Arabidopsis thaliana: one gene and its partner. The protein of the gene in region 1 interacts with the protein of each later gene in a pairwise test. Each region holds a gene or a part of one and is shown in the gene's direction. Other genes may lie near its edges.

Region 1 (7,277 bases):
GGTTAAATTCTTTACGTCTCCTTTCGAGAAACCCATGACGATCACGAATACTATAAATGCAATGTGTAACGCCGTTAATACCATATTCACCTTCGAACTCTCTCTCGTACTGTAACAGATGACGAACGTGACGGCGAGGACGACGATAACGGCGATGGGATCGATTTCGTTGAATCCGTTTGGGAGACCGGAGACGATGAATCTCCACTCCGATGTTGAGATTCCGAATGCAGATCCGAGATAAGCGGTGAATCCTCTTGAAACGGCGGCGTTTGACAGTACGTAGTCCATTATCAGATTTGCTCCGGTTATAAACGCCGGAAACTCGCCTGTAACGGAAAAAAATGAATGATCGGAGAGGAAAAAATGAAATTTGAATTTCTCTGCGATTTGGGAGTTTTGATTTTGGCGGGAGAATGTTACTGACCGAATGTGATACGGATGTAGCTGAAAGCACCGCCGGCGACGGGGAGGTGAACGGCGAACTCGGTGTAACAGAAGGCGGAGAGTAGAGCACAGAGTCCGGCGATTGCGTAAGAGACGACGATTGATGGACCAGCGTAGAGACGACTAGCACGGCCGGTGGTGACGAAGACTCCGGCTCCGATCATTCCACCGATTCCGAGTCCGATGAGATCGTACCAACGGAGAGTACGACGCATCTGCTCGCCGGAGACGGCGCGGACGCGGCTCATCTCGTCGTAAGAGGTGGAAACGGAAACGGCTCGGCGGGAAAAACGGGAGGGAGTGTCGGAGAGAGAGTTGAGGTAGACACGGAGGCTAGAGAAAGAGGTGTCTCCGTCGTGGTTCCGGTATTGGGCCTCCATTTCGGGTCGGGTCAATATGTAACGGATTATAATGTTTTTGAGAGTAATTTGAAACAAGTGGTTTTATAATGTGAGATTGCAAAAGACTGAGAGACGAAAAAAAGAATTAGACGCTTTTTGGTGTAATTTATTACAAGCTTTGGAAACGCTAATTATTATTATTATTTTGGTCAACTTAGTTTTATTATATTAAAGTAGCTTCTATTTTTTTGTATTCATAATGATCAGTGATCACATAAGCATCGACTAAAATAAATAAATCACGTAAGCATTAACACAAATATTCTATAATCTGTTCGGTCTCCCAATTTTTATTATTTGAGTTTAGACGGCAAATATTTAATTCCTAGTATAAATAATGAATGCTTATTTTTCCTTGGACAATGGTCGATAATAATCACAACTTGTTTGTTTAACGAATGCAACCAACGAACATGGATAAAAATGTTACTCTTTTAAGTATCAGAGTGACCAACCAGTAACCGGGATCGTTGCAATCCGTCGCAATATTCACAACTTGGTGAATAATTATGATTGATTATTTTCCTTTTCGTGTGAAGAGAGTTTGAAAAAATAAACAATTTTTTGTTTCTTTCATGTTAATGAAAGTTCTTAATTTCTAAAGTTTTGACTATTTATTTTATTTGTGTGGTATTAGGTCTATAATCTTTTGTATGTTAAATTTTTAATTTTTAACACGTGTGAAAACATAAATTTGTTTATACACGTGTTATAATCTAATTGGCTGTAACACGTATCATAATTCTGATTGCTAACACGTGTGAAAATAAAAATTTATTTGTACACGTATCATAATCTAATTGGCTAAAATCGTCAATATTATAAAACAAATTTAATAAAAAGGATATAGGAAACTAAATGAATGACAATAAATCAGTAGAAAGAAATAAAATAAAGACTTTGTATGCAATATAGCAAAATCTGAAATAAAATTTACCCTTTGAATATAAGAAAAAGGAAGGAAACTTAATACACCCCAATTTGAGAGAAGAGAAGCCATATATTTTTTGTTACTTGAGTTGATTTATAAGCTGCCATATCCCTTACATGAGTTATTATATATACTGTAGTTCTCCAGATTCACACCATTCTGTTTTGTAGACTTCATTTTCCTTAATTTGTTTTGGGAATCATGGCTGAAAATTCATGGACGACAGAGGAGAACGAGATGTTCAAGGATGCACTGGTGATGTTCACTGCCTTTTTGCTTACTCGGTTTGAGAGTGTCGCCGAGTATGTGGATAGATCGGTGGATGATGTTAAGGAGCATTACAAGGAATTGGTCAATGATCTTTTAGAGATGGGATCCAGTCGAGTAGCTTTTCCTAATGAATTGACTAAGGATATGGCTCAAAGTTCGTACCAGGCCGAGAGAACTATATGGACCAAAGAAACACATGAGTAAGTATATAAGATTAATGAGTGATGAGTTATGATTTTTGTTAGTTAGTGGAATTTACATACACGTATAAGTTTCAATTATAAACATAATGATTGATTAGTACTGGTATTGGTTTGTGGATCTAGCTAGACGCATTCTCCTCTTAGACTCCATAATTCACATAGTTCATTTCTGAGATTAAAATGTATTTAGTCCTATGATCTTACGATTTACACATTCTAGCATTATTTTTTTAATGTGGACAATATAGTTTTTTTTTTTTTTTCATTTGACTCAATTTATATCGTTAACTAATAATGCCATGGTGAAACTTGATTAAAATGGGCTGATCTATGAACTGGTGGAAATTGTAATGCAGATGGTTTCTGATTGGGTTAGACCGATTTGGGAAAGATTGGCGTAAAATAGCCGTCTTATTGGATTGCAAGAGCCCGATCCAAGTCGAGATATATGCAGAAAACTTTTACCAGTGGCAAAGCTCAAAGAAAAATGTGATTAACGACTTAAATGTGGCAAGCACCGATGTGAATGTGATGAAACGGCAGGGAGCAAATAACACCAATGTGGACTCAACAGGCCAACAAGAGAGTCTCGTCGCTCTGGAAATCGGTCACCATGCTAAGGCCCCCAACTCAAAGTGATATAAATCTCTATGACTGTATTAACAACCAAAAAATAAAAAGCCTAAAGATATTGAAGGCCCTTGATTATTTTTTTTGTGTGGTATGTTAAAGATTTGGGATTTCCATTTTTTTGGCAAACCATATTTTATTTAATTTTGTGGTCATCTATATTATTTTCTTTAACCATTAAAATAATATATATTTCAATGTTTTTATTTTTTGCTTTATTTCATCTAGGCTAAACAGAAGATACACGTAAGATGGAGCTTTCAAGTTAAGTACGTAGTATATATAAAGTTGGGGTTAAATAGGAAACTAAAATAACTTGAAATTACACTCCAAGTTTTACCCACTGCGTACGTCTAAACGTAAACGAGAAGAAAACTTCTGAGTCAAGTTGTGCGTGTTTAAATACGAAATCGTGTTTCTTTTTGTAAAGTGAGGGCTAATTTTGTAATTTTCACCCATTACTTGATCCTCTATAAATTGTCAGGTTGCCAAAATTAAAACGAACAAACAATCGCTCTTCCGTAACATATTCCACAAAACGATCTTCTTGTTTCTTGAATTTTTAGCCATCTCTTTTTTTTTTTCTCATTTTCTCGGATACTATGGCTTCGAGTCCACGCTGGACGGAGGACGACAACAGGCGTTTTAAGTCAGCTCTGTCGCAATTCCCTCCGGATAACAAGCGTTTGGTGAATGTCGCCCAGCATCTGCCGAAACCTTTGGAGGAGGTGAAGTACTACTACGAAAAGTTGGTCAACGATGTTTATCTGCCGAAACCTTTAGAGAATGTCACCCAGCATCTGCAGAAACCTATGGAAATGGAGGAGATGAAGTACATGTACGAAAAGATGGCCAACGATGTTAATCAGATGCCCGAGTACGTACCACTGGCGGAATCGAGTCAGTCCAAACGCAGGAAGAAGGATACGCCAAATCCTTGGACAGAAGAGGAACACAGGTTAGTCATCAAATACTTATGAATTAGGGTTTCTTTTGATTGAGGAAAAGTCTTAAATCTTGAGGAAAAGTATAAGTTAACAGTTCAAATCTCACAAAAAATGATTAGTTTGGGTTTTGTTGATTAGGGTAACGTATACAAGTATTTTTCTTCAGATAGATGTAATTATCAATTTGATTTATATTAATTTTAACATGATGATGCTGATTATGATAATATCTAGGTTATTAATTCTTATGATTTTGATTGTTTAATGATATATTTCAGATTGTTTCTGCAAGGATTGAAAAAGTATGGGGAAGGAGCTTCGACGTTGACATCAACGAATTTTGTGAAGACAAAGACTCCACGGCAAGTGTCAAGCCATGCACAGTATTACAAAAGGCAAAAATCGGACAATAAGAAGGAGAAACGCCGGAGTATTTTTGACATAACTTTGGAGTCTACCGAGGGCAATCCAGATTCTGGAAATCAGAACCCTCCGGATGATGATGATCCGTCCCAAGGTCAAGGCACTTGTCTTGGAGTTTAGATGTTGGAAGATAGAAGAATGGTGTGAAATGAAACAAGCAACGGAACTTGAACTCAAAAATAGATAATATATATATATATATATATAGATTTAATATAATAAAAAAGGAACTTCGCTTGTTTTCTGCATATGTATAGGATTGCTACGTAGTTTCGGTATACAAAAATATCAGTTTCACTTGATGATGTTCAAGTGTATAGGATAATTAATGATTCTATCAAGTATATGTTAGTTTTTATTTTAAATAGTTTCAAAACATTAAAAAAGCCAAGATATTATATTATATATAAAGTAAGTGAATATGATCACTAATTAAATGATCAATATTTAGTCAAACCGTTTGTCTTTCAGTATATTTAATTTACATGGAACTTGGAAGCATAATAAGACCAAAATTTTATAAGAAGATATATACTTTGAATTCTTTCTTGAACTGAAAAGTAATCTTTTCTTTCTTTCTTTAAATTCAAAAAAAATAGAATATTTATTTCTGTGATAAAGGCCGCGCGTAAACACGTTTAAAAGAAAGAAAATTCATAAAGAAGTCAGTCATACGTACTTAGAACTCTTTCTTGTACTGAAAGTTTTCATCTTTTTATTTTATTTTTTTCTGTGATAATTAAACAGACGTATAAACACGTTTAATAAAAAGAAAGACAGCTTCTGAGTTCTGAGTTTGATATATATAATATGGTGGTTAAGAACGAAATAAAATAACTCGGGTTTCTTTTATTAAATAAAGCAAAGAGGAGGGTTAATTTTACATTTTTCCTTATTATTTCTCATTATAAATCTAATATGAAACGAAAAATCTCAATGACATTATATATTGAGGGCTAAATTTGTAGTTTTTCTTATTAGTTTATCCGGCGAAATCACCTCTATAAAATTCTCAGGTTCTCAAAAAATAATTAAAGGAACAACAAACCCTCTTCAGTGACAGACACAGACTGACAGATTCCACAAACTATTTTTCTTCATTTTCTTGGATATTATGGCTTTGATTCCGCCGTGGACGAGAGACAATGACAAGCGTTTTGAGTTAGCCCTGGTGATATTCCCTGAGGGCTCGCCGTATTTTTTGGAGTACATTGCCGAGTTTCTACAGAAACCTTTGGAGGAGGTGAAGTACTACTACGACGCAATATTGGTCTATGATGTTGTGCTGATCGAATCGGGTAAGTATGCATTACCCAAGTACCCGGAAGCCTATTACGTGTCACTGACGGAAGCGACTGAGTCCAAACACGGGGAGACGAATCAGATACCGAGGATAATTCCTTGGACAGAAGAGGAACACAGGTTTGTCAAAGACATAAATTTAGGGTTTCTTTTGATTGAGGAAGAGTCTTAAATCTTGCTGGAGTTGATGCATTAAGGGTTAGTCAAAGACTTATGAATTACATATGATTATGATAATCTTGGTGGTTGATTTTCTGATAAACGTCTTTAGATTGTTGAATTAAGATGATGAATAATCGTGTTTGTGAGAGAATGTTTTTATTTGACCTTGATAATGACGATTATGGGATCTTGATGGATTGAACAAGTATGGGAAAGGAGCTTGGAGTATGATATCAAGGGAATTTGTGACCTCAACACAAGTAGCAAGTCATGCACAAAAGTATGACAAAAGGCAAAAATTGGACAGTAAGAAGAGGAAACGCTGGAGTGTCCTTGACATAACTTTGGAGTCTACTAAGGGCAAGTCAGATTTTGTTAAGTAGAAAACCCTCCGGGTGATGATAAGTTCAAGTATATGAGTATATGATGAGTTTTGCTTGACGATGATCAATTGTATAGGGGGATGTTGATGATGATGATGTACTGATGTATATATCGGATGATGATGATTGATGAACTGTATAAGACCGGTTTGAACAAACTATAAATGTTTTGGGTTGCTTTGTAAAAGTATAAATGTTTTAAGACCCTTTGGTATGTTGAGCAATATGGAGGTTAAGGACGAAATAAAGATAACTCCGGTTTCTTTTGCTAATTAAAGTAAGACGAGGGTTCATTTTGCAACATTCCCTATTATTTTCTCACTATAAATCTGATTAGAAGCGGAAAACAATACCCTCAGTAACAGATTCCTTAAAGTTCTCTTCAACATTTTCTTATTTTTTTGCTTATATATTAGATTCCTGATCTTTAGCGATCTCAAGATTTCTCTCTTTTTCTTTGGATACTATGGATGCAGCAATTCCGATTTGGAAGAGGGACGATGATAAGCGTTTTGAGTTAGCTCTGGTTCGATTCCCTGCTGAGGGTTCGCCGGATTTTTTAGAGAATATCGCTCAGTTTCTGCAGAAACCGTTAAAGGAGGTGTACTCCTACTACCAAGCCTTGGTCGATGATGTTACGCTGATCGAATCGGGTAAGTATCCTTTGCCCAAGTACCCGGAAGATGATTACGTGTCACTGCCGGAAGCGACTAAGTCTAAAACCCAGGGCACGGGGAAAAAGAAGGGAATACCTTGGTCACCAGAAGAACACAGGTTAGTCAAAGAATTATATGAATAAAAGGTTTCTTTGGATTGTGGAATTAAAGTTCATATTTAAATCTTTGAATTAGAGTTTCTGTTGACTAGGGGAAGTATATATCATAACAGTTTAAGTCTTGCTAGGGTTGATGAATTAGGGTTTTGTTGGTTAGGGCTAGGAGGAACCTATATTATATATACATGTCTTTGCTAATTATAGATGATATTGTTGATTAATAATAATGTGCTCTTAATGGTTATGGACTTTTGGTTGATTAATAAATGATAATATTTTGCAGATTGTTTTTGGATGGACTAAACAAGTATGGGAAAGGAGATTGGAAGAGCATATCGAGGGAATGTGTGACGTCAAGGAGCCCGATGCAAGTGGCAAGCCATGCTCAGAAGTATTTCTTAAG
Region 2 (8,460 bases), on another chromosome or scaffold:
AAAAAATAATTAAATATGAAATTATATTTTCACATTTTTGGATGAGGGACCTACCTCTTCATCTTCTTTCATACTGCTATAAACATATATGGCATGATCTAACCGCAACATAAAACTTATAATATTTTTCTAGCGTTTGTTGATATTATTAAGAGAGAGACAAATAGATATGTTTCTCAATTTATTTTCTTCAAAACAGTTAACGTCGAAATTTGGACATTCTGAATCATCGCTTCTACGAGTGTGATGCACATAGATAAATGAGGTTAAAACGAAGTGATATCATGAATGATTATTGGGGATGAAGTAGTAATTGTCAATTTATTAACAAATAATGAAAACTTTATATGTAGGAAACTATCTACCCAAATCCCTCATCTTCGATCTGTTTGTTGTTTGTGTAATCCAGTCGAAGAGTTATTCAATTGTAAAGATAATATAGGGTATAATTTCATAATTTTTTCAGCAAAAGCACAACTTTATTAAGCTAAAAAATAGACATAAAATATGTTTAACAACATCTATTTAAGACATTACTGTGAAATAGGTTAGAAACATAGTGCTAATTAAGTCAAGTCAACATTTTGTGTCCTAAAAAAATAAAATAATAAATTTGTGTCCTAAGTGAAAAAAAAATAGAAAATTTTAATTCCATCTGCAAATCTCCTTATATTCAATCAAAATACAGAGAGGGAGAGACTTGTTAAAGAAACTTTGTTTCTTCTCTTGAAATTGATAATCTTCTAGAGTATTGAACCATCTTCATGGAACGTTACACAAAAAAAAACGAGAGGTTCAAGGCAGAGGAAGGAAAAGGATCAAAGAAGTCGAGAACTTTCCTTACAGAACGCGAAAGACGAGCTCTCTTCAATGACCGTTTCTTCGACTTAAAGAACCTCATTCCAAATCCCACAAAGGTTAGATATATATTTTTATGTTTAATCTTTCATTCTTTTTCGTCTGTTTAATCTTTCATTCATTCTCTCCAATATCTCTTGATCAATACACATGCTCTATTACTAGGGAGGTGAAGCATCCATTGTTCAAGATGGGATCGTTTACATCAACGAGTTACAAAGACTAGTTAGCGAGCTTAAGTATTTGGTTGAGAAGAAAAAATGCGGTGCAAGGCACAACAACATTGAAGTAGACAATAAAAACACGATTTATGGGACTAGCAAGATAGAGCATCCATTCTCCAAAAACAAAAACACTTTTAACTGTTTGATTCGTACACTTAGATTTGTACACCACTTTTAGTGTACATATATATATAAAAATACACAACGTACACTTTACATTTGTACACTAAAAGTGTTGTACAATCCAAGTGTACGAATCAAATAGTGAAAAGTGACTACTTTGCAAATTATGAATAGTAAAGTGACTACTTTTCCAATTAAGTTTGAAAAAGTGACTAGTTTGCCAACACACCCAACTTTCTTTAGAGCTGAAAATGTCAAGACAATGTTATATAAGAAAGATGAATGCACTTTGATTACGGAGAAAGAAAAGAAGGAATGATTCAAAGAAAAGAAGCAGTGATGAATGATGAAATTCATCCCCAACCCCAAGCATCTACGATGAAGCATCATGCATAATATATAAGAGTGATCAAATTAATCATAGACCACTTTGAATAGACTTGTCTATTGTTAGAGATATTGTGACGTGTGTTTTAGACCGGTTAAGTCGGGTTTGTAGACCGATAATTTTTAGAGAAGTGCAGGCCCTGTTAAACTAATATCAATTTCTATGAAATATCTGTAGTGCAACCGTCAAATAAAATAAAAATGATACGATTCATTACCTAAATGAATCCAACCCAACCCCTTTTCTGAAACTATTGGCTATGTATGGACCGAATCAAGCGGCACTACATTTTTAATATATCAAAAACCAAATCGTTGGTTTGGTCCGGCAATACATTTTAACATTTTCTGAGTAATCAGAGTTTGTACTGTTTAGTTAGGATGGGGACAGTCGCAGTGTACCGTGTACGAGAGAGGTAGGTGACCAGAATTTTTTCAGTTTCTGTCGAATTTCAAGAATAACCCTAATTCTTTTTTTTACTAAATCAAATATAAAGTATATTATTATCCCATTCTTGGATGTGGGACCTACTTCCACTACTTCTCAAACAACCCGCTCTCTTTGCTATAAACAGAAATCGCATGACCCAACCGCTCAACAAGGAAACTTATACAATTAGTTTGATCCAAAATTGTTATTTATTTAGAAAAATTTAATAGAAAAGATTGAAATATAAACATATATGAATGAAATGAATTATTTATATTCAATACAGTCCATGTTATTTTTTTACCAGATTCTCTATTATACATCTCTTCAAGTATCTAAATATTTTTCTTATGGATGAATTTTTATTTTATCATTTTATGTTATCGATTATACACAAAGAAAGGAAGTGTTAAATTAGATTAATTAAGTGAGTTGTCGATATACATTACAGGAAGTGTTTGAGATAGAAACTATTCTATGATGGTTTAGTTGTTGAACACAGTTTACTTATAAAATTAGAAAACCCAGGGGTTTAAGTATTTATACTTCTATTTAACTATGATATACATACATAAGTTTTATCAATGCCATGTACAACGTATAGATGAATCAAACTAGATGATGTGATAAATAATTCCATGATTGTTGATGATAAGGTAGTTAATCATCCATAAATTAAAACTGAACACTTTTTATATACAAAACATATCCATTTAAACCGTGCATTAGTATTTTTGGTTCTTGTATTAAGTCGAAGAGTTTTTTCAATTCGAGTATATAATAAAATACGATTGCATAAACATAACACATATTAAACATGAGATTAATTATAGAAGTAAAACATACATCTAAGACAAGAAAATAGTTTCGCGTTAAAATACTTTTATCAATTACAATTTTGTATTTGGGATATTTTTATCCAAATTTTACTAAAATGAAAGGAAAAGGGTAGAAATGGGAAAGAGCAAACGGGGCTACTTGGTTTGTCGGTGTGAGTTAGTGGAGCCCATATCATATTGGTCAGAGAGAAGATCGTATTTGCTGATAATGACGGAAATACCCCTAAAGTCGTTGAAAAGACCTGAGAGATTCGGCAAGGGACCCATCTGTTGATTCTTCTAACCAACCTTTATGTTTGGCCACAATGATAAATCACATGCTCCAACCAAAACAGCCCCCAAAAAAAACCCAATTTATATTTTCTTAAAAGTGAGCTTATAACGTAAAAGAAATATATACAATGCTAATTTTCTTACAACTGGTTAAGTGTTAAAAGATATGTTTAGGATCATATTGGTATTTGGTAATCAGGTTTCAACATTTGAAATGATTAATCAAAAAATAAGTTGCATAGAAAATGATTTAAAAAATGACTATAAACAAGAAGTAATTTCACAAACCATGTAACAAATCAAAACCTTAATAAATCATGCATCAAAGTTGGATTAGAAACATAGCTTAATGGATTATATACAACATTTTCGTTTAAATTAGACACCTAGAATATACATGTTATCCAATAATTTAACTTTGCCATCTTTTTACCCTTATTGTATTGTGTGTCTCCATCTACAAATGTCCGTATATTTCAAACACAGAGAGGGAGAGAGAGACTCTTGTTTAAAAAACTTACTTCTTCTCCTGAAAATTGAGAAGACAGACGTAGAGAAGAATTAATTGTAACAAAGGTTCTAATTTTCCCAGCTCTGATTACTCATTATCTTACATCTCTTTCTATCTATTGTCAAATTCAAACCCTTAACCCAATGTTTAATCTTTTGGATCCTAACAAACATTTCTATGGTTTCGTTTCCAAAATTATAAAAGAGCTAACTTTTTTTGAAATTAGTTTCAAATTTTTGGTTTTTCTTCTTCTTAAAGATTGTTGAATGTTACTTTTGATTTGCAGGTGTTAAAGAATCATCTAGAGTACTCGTTGAACCATTTCCATGGAAGGTAACAAAATTTCATTATTTGGTCTAATTTCTCATGAAAGTTGCTACCTTTTTCGTTCTGGAAGATCTAAATTAGTGTTTGAGTTACAAACGCAGAAGAAAGAGAAAGCCTTTACGAGGAAATGGGTTGTTTCGATCCCAACACTCCAGCAGAAGTTACGGTGGAGAGTAGCTTCTCTCAAGCCGAACCACCACCACCACCACCGCAAGTTCTGGTTGCCGGAAGCACAAGCAACAGCAACTGCAGTGTTGAGGTAGAAGAGCTCTCTGAATTCCATCTCAGCCCACAAGATTGTCCTCAAGCTTCTTCAACACCTCTCCAGTTTCACATCAATCCTCCTCCTCCACCACCTCCTCCTTGTGATCAACTCCACAACAATTTGATTCACCAAATGGCTTCACATCAACAACAACACTCTAATTGGGATAATGGGTATCAGGATTTTGTGAATTTGGGACCTAACTCTGCAACAACTCCTGATTTGCTTAGTCTCTTACACTTGCCTAGATGCTCATTGCCTCCTAATCATCATCCTTCCTCTATGCTACCTACCTCTTTCTCAGACATTATGTCTTCTTCTTCTGCTGCTGCTGTTATGTACGACCCTCTCTTCCATTTGAATTTCCCTATGCAGCCTAGAGATCAGAACCAGCTAAGAAACGGCTCTTGTTTACTTGGAGTTGAAGATCAAATTCAGATGGATGCTAATGGAGGAATGAATGTTTTGTACTTTGAAGGAGCAAACAACAACAATGGTGGATTTGAGAATGAGATTCTTGAGTTTAACAATGGAGTTACTCGTAAAGGAAGAGGATCAAGAAAGTCGAGAACTTCCCCTACAGAACGTGAGAGACGAGTTCACTTCAATGATCGTTTCTTCGACTTAAAGAACCTCATTCCAAATCCCACAAAGGTATATACTTTACTTTGCTTTGATTTCAATTCATGTTGTTAATGTGTATGAGGAGACTATGAAATGAGAGACATTGTTGGTTTAATCTCTGTAGATTGATAGAGCATCGATAGTTGGAGAGGCGATAGATTACATCAAAGAGCTTTTAAGGACAATAGAGGAGTTTAAGATGCTTGTGGAGAAGAAGAGATGTGGGAGATTCAGGAGCAAGAAGAGAGCTAGAGTTGGTGAAGGAGGAGGAGGAGAAGATCAAGAAGAAGAAGAAGACACTGTGAATTACAAGCCACAGAGCGAAGTAGACCAGTCTTGCTTCAACAAGAACAACAACAACTCACTGAGATGTTCATGGCTTAAGAGGAAATCGAAAGTCACTGAGGTCGATGTACGTATAATCGATGATGAAGTAACCATCAAGCTTGTTCAGAAGAAGAAGATTAACTGTTTGTTGTTCACCACCAAAGTTCTTGATCAGCTTCAGCTAGATCTTCACCATGTTGCAGGTGGACAGATTGGTGAACATTACAGCTTCTTGTTCAACACTAAGGTAATGAAAATGTCTCACTAATATAGTTCTGTTATTAACTCCAAACCAATAAACTAATCTTTTTCAATTTGGTTTGAGGCAGATTTGTGAAGGATCTTGTGTGTATGCAAGTGGAATTGCAGACACATTGATGGAGGTCGTGGAGAAGCAGTACATGGAAGCTGTTCCTAGCAACGGCTACTAGATTCCAGACACACTTATGGAGTAGTTTATTGCTTTTTAATAACTTTTGTGATACCCCTCTAATGACTGATTAAGTTATTAATCACTTTGGTAATTTTCAAGTTTATTTAGCTAGAGTTAAAGTTAGAGCTAGAGCTGAGGCTCTTTGTCTGGATTTTGTCTAACTCTATATATTTCTTCTAGCTTTATCGGTTTCGTTTTTCGACCACATTTTAATCTCTTGCGTTTTTTTTTTTAACAAATGCTCTTGCTCATATTTACCTTACGTTTCATATTGCTCTTAATGGGCCAGTGGGCCGTGTCGTTTGAAAAGTTTGAGAATAATCATCAGTCCGGAATTTATAAACCATTGCTTCTTTATCGATTCTGGTTTTCTAACTAGAAATTAAGAAACTTGCTTACATTTTCAGTGGTTCTTTTTACAATGAGCCAATTTTAATCTGGTTCTTTTTACGATTTTTCATTTACCGTTGAATTACGTGTTTAAGCTTTTATTTAATAATGTGTACTATCAATTAGGCTTTGACAAAACAAAAAATGTACTATCAATTAGTGAATGTTAATTTGTTTTAGATCTAAAACAAAAAAACAAGGATGTGATTTTGTCTCAACGCTCTTGTCTTTGCTCGTTGTCTGTCACCCTTTTTGCTTATTCCCTATTTCGAACACGTTCATGTGTATTTTTTTGTTTTGAAGTCTATTTTCACATTTAAAATAAAGTATGTCTGTGAAAAGCTTATGACGTGTATCACAATTTTAACTTACTAATTCTGGACAAGCATATCACTTGATAATTATATATAGCTTTTCACATATTCACATTTGGCAAAAGGAAATTAAAAAAAAAACGGTAATTGTGGTTGGTGACGGTTTCTCTAATTGTTCAACTCCGTTATTGCCATTCCGTTTTTTCGTTTATCCTCAAAGAAGTTGTAAGCATTTAACTGAGGTTTGAGGGCTTGTCTAGGATAGGAGCTGCTCGTGGAGGCCATGATGAAGACTTGGATTCTTTGGAGTTGAGGGATCGGGTTCTTTAGAGCTAAACCAATCACGTTTTTAAAGCTTTTTTCTTTAGGTTTTCAGTATTTTTCTGTTAACAGTATATGTTTATTTATTTTTTGTCAAAATTTCAAATAATTGTATCAATACTTCAAACTCTACCAAAAAACAAAAAAAATCTCGACATGAAATTATTTTAATTCCAACGTCCATGGTGAATCTTAAGCTTTATTAGGTTAAGAATGTTTCAATTTACGACATCCAACAAAATATCGACATGTAGAATTTGATTTTATCGCCTATGGTTAATCTTTATAGCTTATTGGGTTAAGAATGTTTCACACACAAAAAAAGTAATAAGAAAGTCAAACAGCCAATTAATAATGAGATTAACAATAATGATGATAACGAAAGCATCATTAACGACGTATTAACACAATATAATATGAACGTCATAATGATATTTTATATAATTTATAATATAACATTTATACAATATAACAGGAACGTACCTTTATAGATCTAATCGAATTACCCTACACACACAAAACTTAATAGTTTATCTTATCAACTTCTTTTTGGTTAGATTTTGTTATTCGAATTAAGAATAACTTTATAGCTTGGATCGACTTGATTGATTTTTTAAGATTCACAGTCTTAGATTTACAGGAATCGTTACTTGGAGAAATTTATATCCTCTAATATCTTTCACGCAAAAAATGAAAATTATTAAAGCACAAAAAAAAAAAAAAAATTAAAGCAATTAAGGTGGACACACACACTTTTCAGCCATATAACGCAATAATAGATTTTTTTTTCATCAAGACAAAAAATAAGAGTTTTTTTTTTATATATATACACTTTAACATCACCATCTCTTCCAATAATTTCATTTGGATACAACAAACAAAAAATAAGAGAACCAAAGAAATTGCAGAATGAACAAAACAAATTTCAAGATTAATTATCACAAAATTAAAGTTTAATAGTGGCTTTTGCTGAAATCAATTACAAGATCAACATGAGCTCATAAGAAGTTGTTCTAAATACTCAGCACCTAAATCTTCAAAAACCACAAGTGTACCACTTTCTTGCTTCACAACACTCTGCTTACTACTACTTCTTGATGTTGAAGAAGTAGACGAAGAAGAAGAGCAAGAAGAAGAATTAGAAGAAGAAGAAGAAGAAGAAGAGGATCGCTTTTTCCCTCTAGGCCGGTTTCGAAGAGAATGTTTTCTCTTCAAGGCCATAACCGGAGATCCTCCATCATGAAGATTCACATTCTCCATTTTCTTTAGCGACTCTCTAACCACTTCCACCGGGAAATTAAGTGTTGCAAGAGATCCTTTTGTGGCGAAAGCCGCTTGATCATAAGCAAGAGCGGCTTCCTCGGCTTTGTCAAATGTCCCGAGCCAAACCCTAATTCCATTCCTCGTTGAATCTCTTATCTCCGCTGCAAATTTCCCCCACGGCCTTTTCCTCACTCCTCTGTATGATCTTTCTTCATCAATTCCAACCTTTTCTTCTTCTTCGGAGTTAGAAACGTCGCCGTTTTGAATTTCTTCCTTAATCATCATCTCCGGTGACTCAAATGAGAAAAAGTCATCGGAGTAATCATAATTAGGGCAAAAGAAGGCTTGAGGTTCAGATGATTGATCCAAGAAACAGCTCTCGTTCCATAAGAGTGATTCTTGTGATGAGCTCCAAGAACTTGGAGATGAATACATGGAAGATTGGGAATATTCCATAAGTTTTTTTTTTTTTTTTTTTTTACGATTTCTCTTTTTCTTTTCTTTTTGTTATCTCTTCTTGTTGTGGCAATAAGTTTATTTCAAAACCTAAT

What was found.
Region 2: the proteins of AT3G10590 (region 1) and AT2G31220 interact in a two-hybrid assay, tested with the Arabidopsis thaliana proteins (one large-scale study listed by BioGRID).

Annotation. Positions count from the first base shown.
Region 1 is NC_003074.8:3,307,519-3,314,795, reverse strand, and holds AT3G10590 (Duplicated homeodomain-like superfamily protein), read left to right. Parts: upstream 1-3,468; 5' UTR 3,469-3,484; coding exon 3,485-3,840; intron 3,841-4,107; coding exon 4,108-4,372; 3' UTR 4,373-4,588; downstream 4,589-7,277. Other genes in the region: CAT7 (cationic amino acid transporter 7), read right to left, coding at 1-329, 428-827; AT3G10595 (Duplicated homeodomain-like superfamily protein), read left to right, coding at 1,981-2,249, 2,609-2,891; AT3G10585 (Homeodomain-like superfamily protein), read left to right, coding at 5,367-5,674, 5,955-6,090, 6,176-6,229; AT3G10580 (Homeodomain-like superfamily protein), read left to right, coding at 6,566-6,873, 7,158-7,277.
Region 2 is NC_003071.7:13,299,043-13,307,502, forward strand, and holds AT2G31220 (basic helix-loop-helix (bHLH) DNA-binding superfamily protein), read left to right. Parts: upstream 1-3,623; 5' UTR 3,624-3,710; intron 3,711-3,931; 5' UTR 3,932-3,971; coding exon 3,972-3,978; intron 3,979-4,030; exon of another isoform or gene 4,031-4,073; coding exon 4,074-4,891; intron 4,892-4,985; coding exon 4,986-5,435; intron 5,436-5,517; coding exon 5,518-5,619; 3' UTR 5,620-5,827; downstream 5,828-8,460. Other genes in the region: AT2G31215 (basic helix-loop-helix (bHLH) DNA-binding superfamily protein), read left to right, coding at 765-917, 1,024-1,260; ERF15 (ethylene-responsive element binding factor 15), read right to left, coding at 7,634-8,365.